Linked DNA regions of Rattus norvegicus. The protein of the gene in region 2 purifies or fractionates together with the protein of the main gene of each other region. This does not show direct contact. Links are inferred from orthologs where the notes say so. Each region holds a gene or a part of one and is shown on either strand. Other genes may lie near its edges.

Region 1 (3,912 bases), on a different chromosome or scaffold from region 2:
TGCGCTGTGGCAGAGTGACCAAGCAAAGGAGCACGGGGGTGGCAGGATAACTAGAGGGGCGAGGGGCCAGTGTGCCAAGAGTCCTGAACTGGGCCCCGAGGGGAGTGCCCAGCATGTGGGTATGACTGCCCGAGAAGCAGCTTATCCCCTGTCTTCACTCGCCCTTTCAGTACCCACCACTGTCTTCCGCACACACCGGCACTGACAGCACACAGGAGTAACTGCAGAAACTGCCCTGGACCAGTGCGCAAGCCAAACCTCGTGCTGAGGTCTGGGTGAACACACCAGGCTTTACCTAGCTTGATGAGGTGCAGGAGCTGCTCCGAGGGCGCACACACCGACTGTGGCTTGATCTCGTTGATGAGGCCATTGGCGATGCTAATGTATCCGTCATAGAGCAGCTGGCTGATGATCAGCTTGTAGAGCTGCTGGCGGTCCTTCAGGCCCACTTTGGTTCTGTACATTCTGCACAAGAGGATGACAGTTCCCCTGACTGCTGCAAGGAAAACCAGCACTGGTGAAAGGCAGAGGCACGCCTCCTAGGCCTAAGCACACACCTCAGTCTGCTTGCTTCTCTCAGTTCAGGTTCTTCAGCTGTTACCCAAGTCACTGGAGGTTAATCAAACTTTTCAAATAGTGTCACTGATGGATCTGCTAGAATCCCCAACCATTTGTCCTTCGCTGCTAACTACCCACCTGCAACTTTTATTCTGCTGCTACCCCTGACTCTTCTGTGAGCAGCGGCACCCACAACAGGCTGATAGCTATGTTTTGTCGGATGCCTGGACCACTTCACACCAGCCGGAATGTAAATCTAGGCAACCGAGCTTATTATTATAATCATGCAACTTGATGAGGCAGTACACGAACACACAAATACATCATAAAAAAACAAAGGAGGGGGTTGGGGATTTGGCTCAGTGGTAGAGCACTTGCCTAGCAAGCGCAAGGCCCTGGGTTTGGTCCCCAGCTCCGAAAAAACAAAAACAAAACAAACAAAAAAAAAAACAAACCAAAAAACAAAGGAGGATCACAAAATGAAAAATAAGCTAAGTTCGACGCTTTGGGAAGATCCTAAGGTAAAACTGCTTAAATGTGTCAAATGCCTGCCCCACCCACGTCTTTAGTCCCAGCACTTGGGACTAAGAGACAAGGAGATCCCTGTGATTTTGAGACCAACCTGGTCTACATAGGTAGTCACAGGCCAGGCAGGACTACATAGTGAGACCCTATCACACACACAGACACACAGACACACACACACACACAAATGACTACCATCAAAACAAATAAGAAATGCAAAAATCTGAACATTGTGCTCTTAAGTTTTATTTGGGAGGATCTAGGCTCACCAGTCCATGAAAATTAAACAGAACTGAAGATGATGGTTTCTTAATCAACCCGGGTAGATAATTTGGTAAGTATATGTGTGGTTAGATGCTTGAATATAGATGTCTGGGGACATCAAGCAAGAAGGTAGCCTAGAGATACAGCCAAGAGTTAAGTGTTTGCTGACAGATACCCTAGGTTCAATTTAAAATAAGAAGACTAGCAAGGCCACCCAGCATCGTGCTGACCAGAGTCCTTAACAATAACACCAGGCAGTTCCTACCGCCAGATACGATGTCAAGCACCTAATTAGCATTCGACCGCGAAACGAAGCTATTCAATATATTCGTGCACATTAGAAATAAGTGTATACAAATCTACCCTTGCATAAGGCATTGGGATACAACATAGGGTGAAATGAGTTCGAAGAATCTAGGGCACCCGTTCAAGCTAAAGTCAGTCCCCAAAAGTTGAGGAGGGGCCAGCACACTCCGGAGCCCAGAACTTTTATCACGACATTTAAGGAAAACGGGGTGGGGAGGATGTTGAGCCTTTACTTAACTCCCTACTGAACTTCCAATGGGGCATAGATCTATTTATATCCTTCGCGGACTGGACACCGAGGCACGAGACAGGAGGAGCCTGACCCCGGGAAGCTAACACCCGGGAATGTAGGAGGCCCAGAGAGAAGCCGCGCGACCACTCCTGCTCAGGGCGCAAGGCAGGGACCCACCGGGACCGAGGCCCTTTGAGACCCGGGGTGCAGGCCAGGCCGGGCAACTCTAGGACACGGACATGGGGCGAACGGCCTCTCGCTATCCTCTCCGCTAGCCCCGGTCCTTCACGTGATCCACTACAGACCCTAGCCAACCGCACTATCCCGTCCCCTTTCGACCCCTCGACCCCGTACCCGCTGATCAGGGTCTCGGTCTCCCGCTCTCTTCTAGAAAAATGGAGGCGCGAATCGTGCCCGATCGATCGCTCTGAGTGCACACTCAGTGCGCACGTGCAAAGGGCATGCAGCCGAGCGCCGAGCAAGTCCCCGCTCACTCGCAAGCCTGCCCTTCTCGCCATCTTACTCACTGGCACGTTCGAGACGCTCATTCACCTTCTCCGAGCTGATCACCTCCGCGACAGCCTTGAATCCAAAGGACTGTGAGTGACCGGCAAACGCCCGATCCTTGGAGAGCACGGCGGGCGATAGAACGGCCGTAGATCGGACAGGCCGTTGGTGCACCACTTCCGGGCTCCGACAGCTCAGTGCGCCTGCGCCCAGCTACGGCAAGGAACGAGCTTCCCGTAGTCGCGTTCAGGGTGAGCCAATCACAGAACGGCGTCGCTCCGGCTATAGCCAATCAGCTCTCGGAGGAGAGGGTTTAACTCCTATTTTAAAAGGAGAACCTTTGAATTGTAACGGCTGAGCTACCGGGATCGCTTGGAGACTTCGGTCGGAAGCAGGTTCTTGCCTGTGAGTAGGAAGGGGACCCGGTTGGTGAGGACGAGCTTGGTTGCTGCAAACCGAAGGGGAAGGTTGAGTGGCATCGGGGTAATGGACTGTCTTAGTGGGTTTGCATTCCGTTTAAGAAAGACCCAGACGGCTTTTTTCCTGGCTTGGGTTTAGGCTTTTGTGGGAATGGGGACCCAGACCGCCAGCTAACCGAGTAATTTGCAAACTGATGGTGGACGCGGGAACTGCGGCTTAGTGAGGACTGCTTCGGGTGGAGAGTCGGAGTCTAGGTCGAATCGAGTCCGCAGATGAACGGGAGTTCCCTCGTAGAGTGCCCAGGACTGGTGCTGCTCTCACCGCAGCCTTCTGAGCAGTTTACGTCGGGACTATTTGAGGGTCTGGTTCGCACCTTAGACCCGTTAAAGCCCAATTTGTAGAGTATCCCAGAAGCCCAAAGCTTGACCCCAGCACTGCCTTCATGACCCCCTTCCCGCTGTTTATTCCAACAGTAAGATGGTGGAGGCAGGCTCAGAAGTCAAAGGTCATCCTCAGCTACACAGTAGGTCCAAAAACCCAGCCTAAACTACATAGGACCCAGACTCAATATCCCCCCAACTCCTACCACACACAAACACCCCAAGTGTGCCTCAGCAGTCTGAGGCAGAAGGATAGCCTTGAATCTGAGGCCAGTCTCTCCGCTACAGTGTCTCAAAAGTGGAGCCTGTCTGGGAGTGTAGTTCAGTTAGTAAGGTCCTAGCACGTCCTGGGTCCCCTCCCCAGCACTTCATACATTGAGGATGGCGATGAATTTGTAATCCCAGCACTGAGGTACCGCAGGCAGAGGAGCAGGAGTTCAAAGTAATCTCCACCGTTTAGCATGTTCAAGGCCAGCCTGGGATCCAGGAAATTCTGTCTCAACCATAAACCTAAGGTTAGGTGTGGTCTCGCATTCTTTTAATCCCAGTATCTAGGAGGCAGAGGCAGGTGGAGTGAGTTCAAGGCCAGCCTGGTCTACATAGTGAGTTCCAGAACAGACAGGACTACACAGGGAGACTCTGTCTTAAAAAACAACAACAAAAAACCAAACCAAATAAATAAATAAAAAATCCAAACCTAACAAACAAAATCCTGGCTCT
Region 2 (3,812 bases):
TCGTATGGACCCTTACTGCCGCCTGCGTCTGGGCTATGCTGTTTATGAAACTCCCACAGCACACAATGGCGCCAAGAACCCTCGATGGAACAAGGTTATTCAGTGCACAGTGCCCCCAGGTGTGGACTCGTTCTACCTTGAGATCTTCGATGAGGTGAGAGATGCTCCAATGTTACAGAGTTGCCAAGTTTGGGATCTGGCAGCCATGGGTGTGCTGCATGTGCCTTGTGGTTGTAGTCATGAGGCTGTTCTACTGGTGCTCAGGACCTTTGTACCTAGCATTTAGTGACTAGTGACAGGGTGTAACCTGCCTGGACACCTGGCATTTAGTGGCTGAATGACAAAGTACAGTTTCTTTGACAGTGTCCATTAGGAGCCATCACCAGTGATAGAAGCATGAGTAGAGTGTGAAGATAGATGTTCATGGATAAGTCGAATTACAAATAAGTCAGCACCCTCAGTGAGGGGAACACTGTTCTTGCAGGCCTCAGTTCCAGGCTCTGACACTAATGTCCCATGGCCATACCAGCAGTTAGGTGTGCAACTTTTTGAGGGCAGTCAGGAAACTCAGGTGGCTGAAGATGTCTTCTCGCAGCTTAGTTCTGGAGACCATGTGCTTGCCTCCTTGAAACAGAGCAAAGGGCAGTGGGAAGAGAATGGGGACGGTGAGAGCCAGAAAGGAAGTGGGCATGGGTAGTCCAGCGAGGGGGACGCAGCCACTCATTTGTCTTTACCCCCTTCCTCTGCTTTCTTCTTCAGCGTCTGTGAAGAGTAGGGATATGGGAAGGAGGGTTGGGCTATGGATGGGCTGGCAGCTCTTGTCCTTGTCTGTACCTACTGGGCTTGAGACTTACAGCTTCTATCTAGTTGATTAGTTAGGGCCACAAGGACTGCAGAGGACAGTGTCCATCCCTGAGCAAGGATGGCAGCCAAGAGATTTCTTTATTGTCCTTTGGCCTGACCTTATGGTGGTTACTCAGAAGATGCAGAAGTAGTGGTGGCCAGGTACAGGTCACCTGGATGTCTGGGATTGTGGTTTAATGGGAAGCTCCTTGGAGGAAGCTGGAGCAGTGAGAGGAACCCTGTCCTGCCAAGAACACAGAAGGTAGATGCAGGCGGCAGTCCAAGCACAGCCTTAGGAAAAGCTGGTCTCTATAACATGGGTCGTTGAGGGCCATAATGAGGTCATTTTACTCTTGTCTTCCTCAGCGAGCCTTCTCCATGGACGACCGCATAGCTTGGACCCACATCACTATCCCCGAGTCCCTGAAGCAGGGCCAAGTGGAGGACGAGTGGTATAGCCTGAGTGGGAGGCAGGGCGACGACAAGGAGGGCATGATTAACCTGGTCATGTCCTATACGGTGAGTTCACTGTCTGGCGAGGCCATTCTCAAAGAGGGTCTGGCACCTCCTTGAGATAGCTATGGCTCCCAGAACCTTGGGAAGTCATGGGAGGCAGGGCTGGGGGTCTGGTTTCCCACTGTCTCCTTTGTATTATCTGGGCCTTTCCTTTTAGTTGTTCTTGAGCCTTTGAGAACAGGGGAGTATAAAGCACCCGGTATGCAGGCCTCCTCCGCTTTACCATCCTACATGCCTCTCCTGGTGTGGAGTGTCACCCATCTTTAACAGGTGCTTTATGTAGCATAGGTCCATTGTATACTCGCTCATCTACAGTTCAAGATTATTTGAGCTGGGGCAGGAGAGGTGACTCAACAGGTTAAGAGCACTGCTGCTCTTGTGATTCCCAGTACCTTCATGGTGGCTGACAACCAACTGTAACTCCAATTCCAGGGGATCCAATACCCTAATCTAACCTTCACTGGCATCAGGCACACACATAATGCACACACATATAGGCACACAAAACACTAAGATATGTTAAATAAAACAAAGCAGTTCAGCATTTCCGAGAGAAGCTACTGATACTGATGCAGTCTCCAAAATGGACCCTGAAGGGAGCTTTGTAAGTCCTGTGTGAGAAGTGGTGTGGTTGTAGCTCGTGTGAGCCAGTGGTTGACATCATTTGTTTTCTTTGGTCTTCACCTTGACTCTTGTTCTCACTGAAACTGAAACTCATTCCATTCACTAGATTGGCTGGCTAATGAACTTGAGGGATCTTCTTGTCTCTGCCTCTCTCGTCCTAGGATTATAGATATGTGTCACACACACACACACACACACACACACACACACACACACACACACATAAACATAGCTTTATATATGGGTGCCGGGGATTGAACTCATGTCCTCATGCTTGTGCACCAAGCACTTTCCTAACTGAGCTGTAGTTCTGAGTCTGCAGCCCAAGTCTTCCAGCTGAAGGGAGGAGGTCTGCAGGAGTGGTGCAGATGAAACCAGTGGCCATGGACACTACATTCTTGCTGAGGATTCCATGTCTTGGGTGTTGCTGTCTGGGCTGTGGCTAGGACTAGCCCTATGATACCAGAAGTAACAAGATTGACATATGGTATGGTCCTCCTTGACACCCATGTTTTTCTTTGTTGTGTTTCAGTCCCTTCCAGCTGCCATGATGATGCCGCCTCAGCCTGTGGTTCTGATGCCAACTGTGTACCAGCAGGGTGTTGGCTATGTGCCCATTGCAGGTGTGTACTGCTTCTTTGGTAGGCATCCCAGGGACAAAGTAGGACAGGAGGAGGGAGGGGCCCAGCATTCCTATGAAGCTTGAGTAGTGTAGAATTGTGTAAGCATGGCTATTTTAAATGAAGACCTTCTAAAACCTACTCCAGTGTCATATTTGAATTATTTTTGTATACATAGGAAGTAGTGTTTGCTCTGTTTTTGCCACAAGTAAGGTGAGTTGAAATTTTTAGAGGTGTAGAAACGTTGTCTAGGAATATTTTCATGTATGAGTTGTAGGAATAAGAAAATCTGGTTCCTGTTAGACAAGGCATACTACATCTTAAATCATGGCTTTCGTTGAAAGTATTTACCCATGTAAATTAATACCTGCTTGAGTCGTAAAGTCAAGATGTGGCTTTTATATATTTTTTTAATTTTTAACCTTCCTGTGGATTTCACAGTACCTGGTGTCCAGTTGGCCTTCCTACCAGAGTAGGGCAAGCCAGATGAGATCACACACCTGCTTTCTTAGCCAACAGGAAAGACTGTGGCTCTGAGAGTAGACACCAGGGCAGGCCTTCAGGACCCCTGTTCTCTGCTAGGGTTCAGGAAACTGGAGTCCAAGCAAACCATGTAGTCCTGCTATCCCAAGGAATTCAAAGGCTAAGGCAGTAGGGATGGCCAGTCCATAGGGCAAGAGGGAATATGAGATCCTGGATGGGGCTTTGCCTATATGGTCCCTGCTTGCTGGTGCTCAGAGTGAGCATTGCTTTGGATCTAGGACAGCACAGAGCTGCTGTGGTTCATCTGTGTGGGGTCTGAGGGTTCCACACAGTCAGAATGGAGTGACTCATTAGTCTTTATTAAACTTAGCCCTTACGCCAGCTGAGCGAGGGAAGATAGTACAGGACTTGGGAATGAAATCCACCCACACATATCCTGAAAACAGCCCTGACAGACAGAACTTGGGCCTTCTGCCTATGACAAATCTCCCTGCAGGGACAAAGGGCAGCGTTTTCCAAAGGAAAGGGAGGGTAAGTTCACAGGGTTCCAGGGCCCTGCAGTATTTGAACTGGACTAGGTTGTCACCAGATCAGCAGACTAGAATGTACAACCTGCAGTAGAGGGCAAACAAGTCAAGTGGGCAGTGACCCAGGTCCTTAGAGAAACTTTAAAGCAGTGTGGTGGTTCACCAGGAGCCTTAGAAATCAGGAAAGTGGGGTTTTAGG

Evidence for each region.
Region 1: the proteins of Tollip (region 2) and Cstf1 purify together in Homo sapiens (co-immunoprecipitation; 3 studies listed by BioGRID and IntAct, with this or other methods). This does not show direct contact. The link is inferred for Rattus norvegicus from reciprocal best matches to the Homo sapiens genes TOLLIP and CSTF1.

The regions. Positions count from the first base shown.
Region 1 is NC_086021.1:181,561,642-181,565,553, reverse strand, and holds the start of Cstf1 (cleavage stimulation factor subunit 1), read right to left. Parts: upstream 2,600-3,912; 5' UTR 2,413-2,599; intron 2,376-2,412; exon of another isoform or gene 2,240-2,375; intron 497-2,239; exon of another isoform or gene 494-496; 5' UTR 465-493; coding exon 296-464; intron 1-295. UniProt on the Homo sapiens protein: One of the multiple factors required for polyadenylation and 3'-end cleavage of mammalian pre-mRNAs. May be responsible for the interaction of CSTF with other factors to form a stable complex on the pre-mRNA.
Region 2 is NC_086019.1:206,398,267-206,402,078, reverse strand, and holds part of Tollip (toll-interacting protein), read left to right. Parts: coding exon 1-154; intron 155-1,209; coding exon 1,210-1,362; intron 1,363-2,515; coding exon 2,516-2,606; intron 2,607-3,812. UniProt on the Homo sapiens protein: Component of the signaling pathway of IL-1 and Toll-like receptors. Inhibits cell activation by microbial products. Recruits IRAK1 to the IL-1 receptor complex. Inhibits IRAK1 phosphorylation and kinase activity.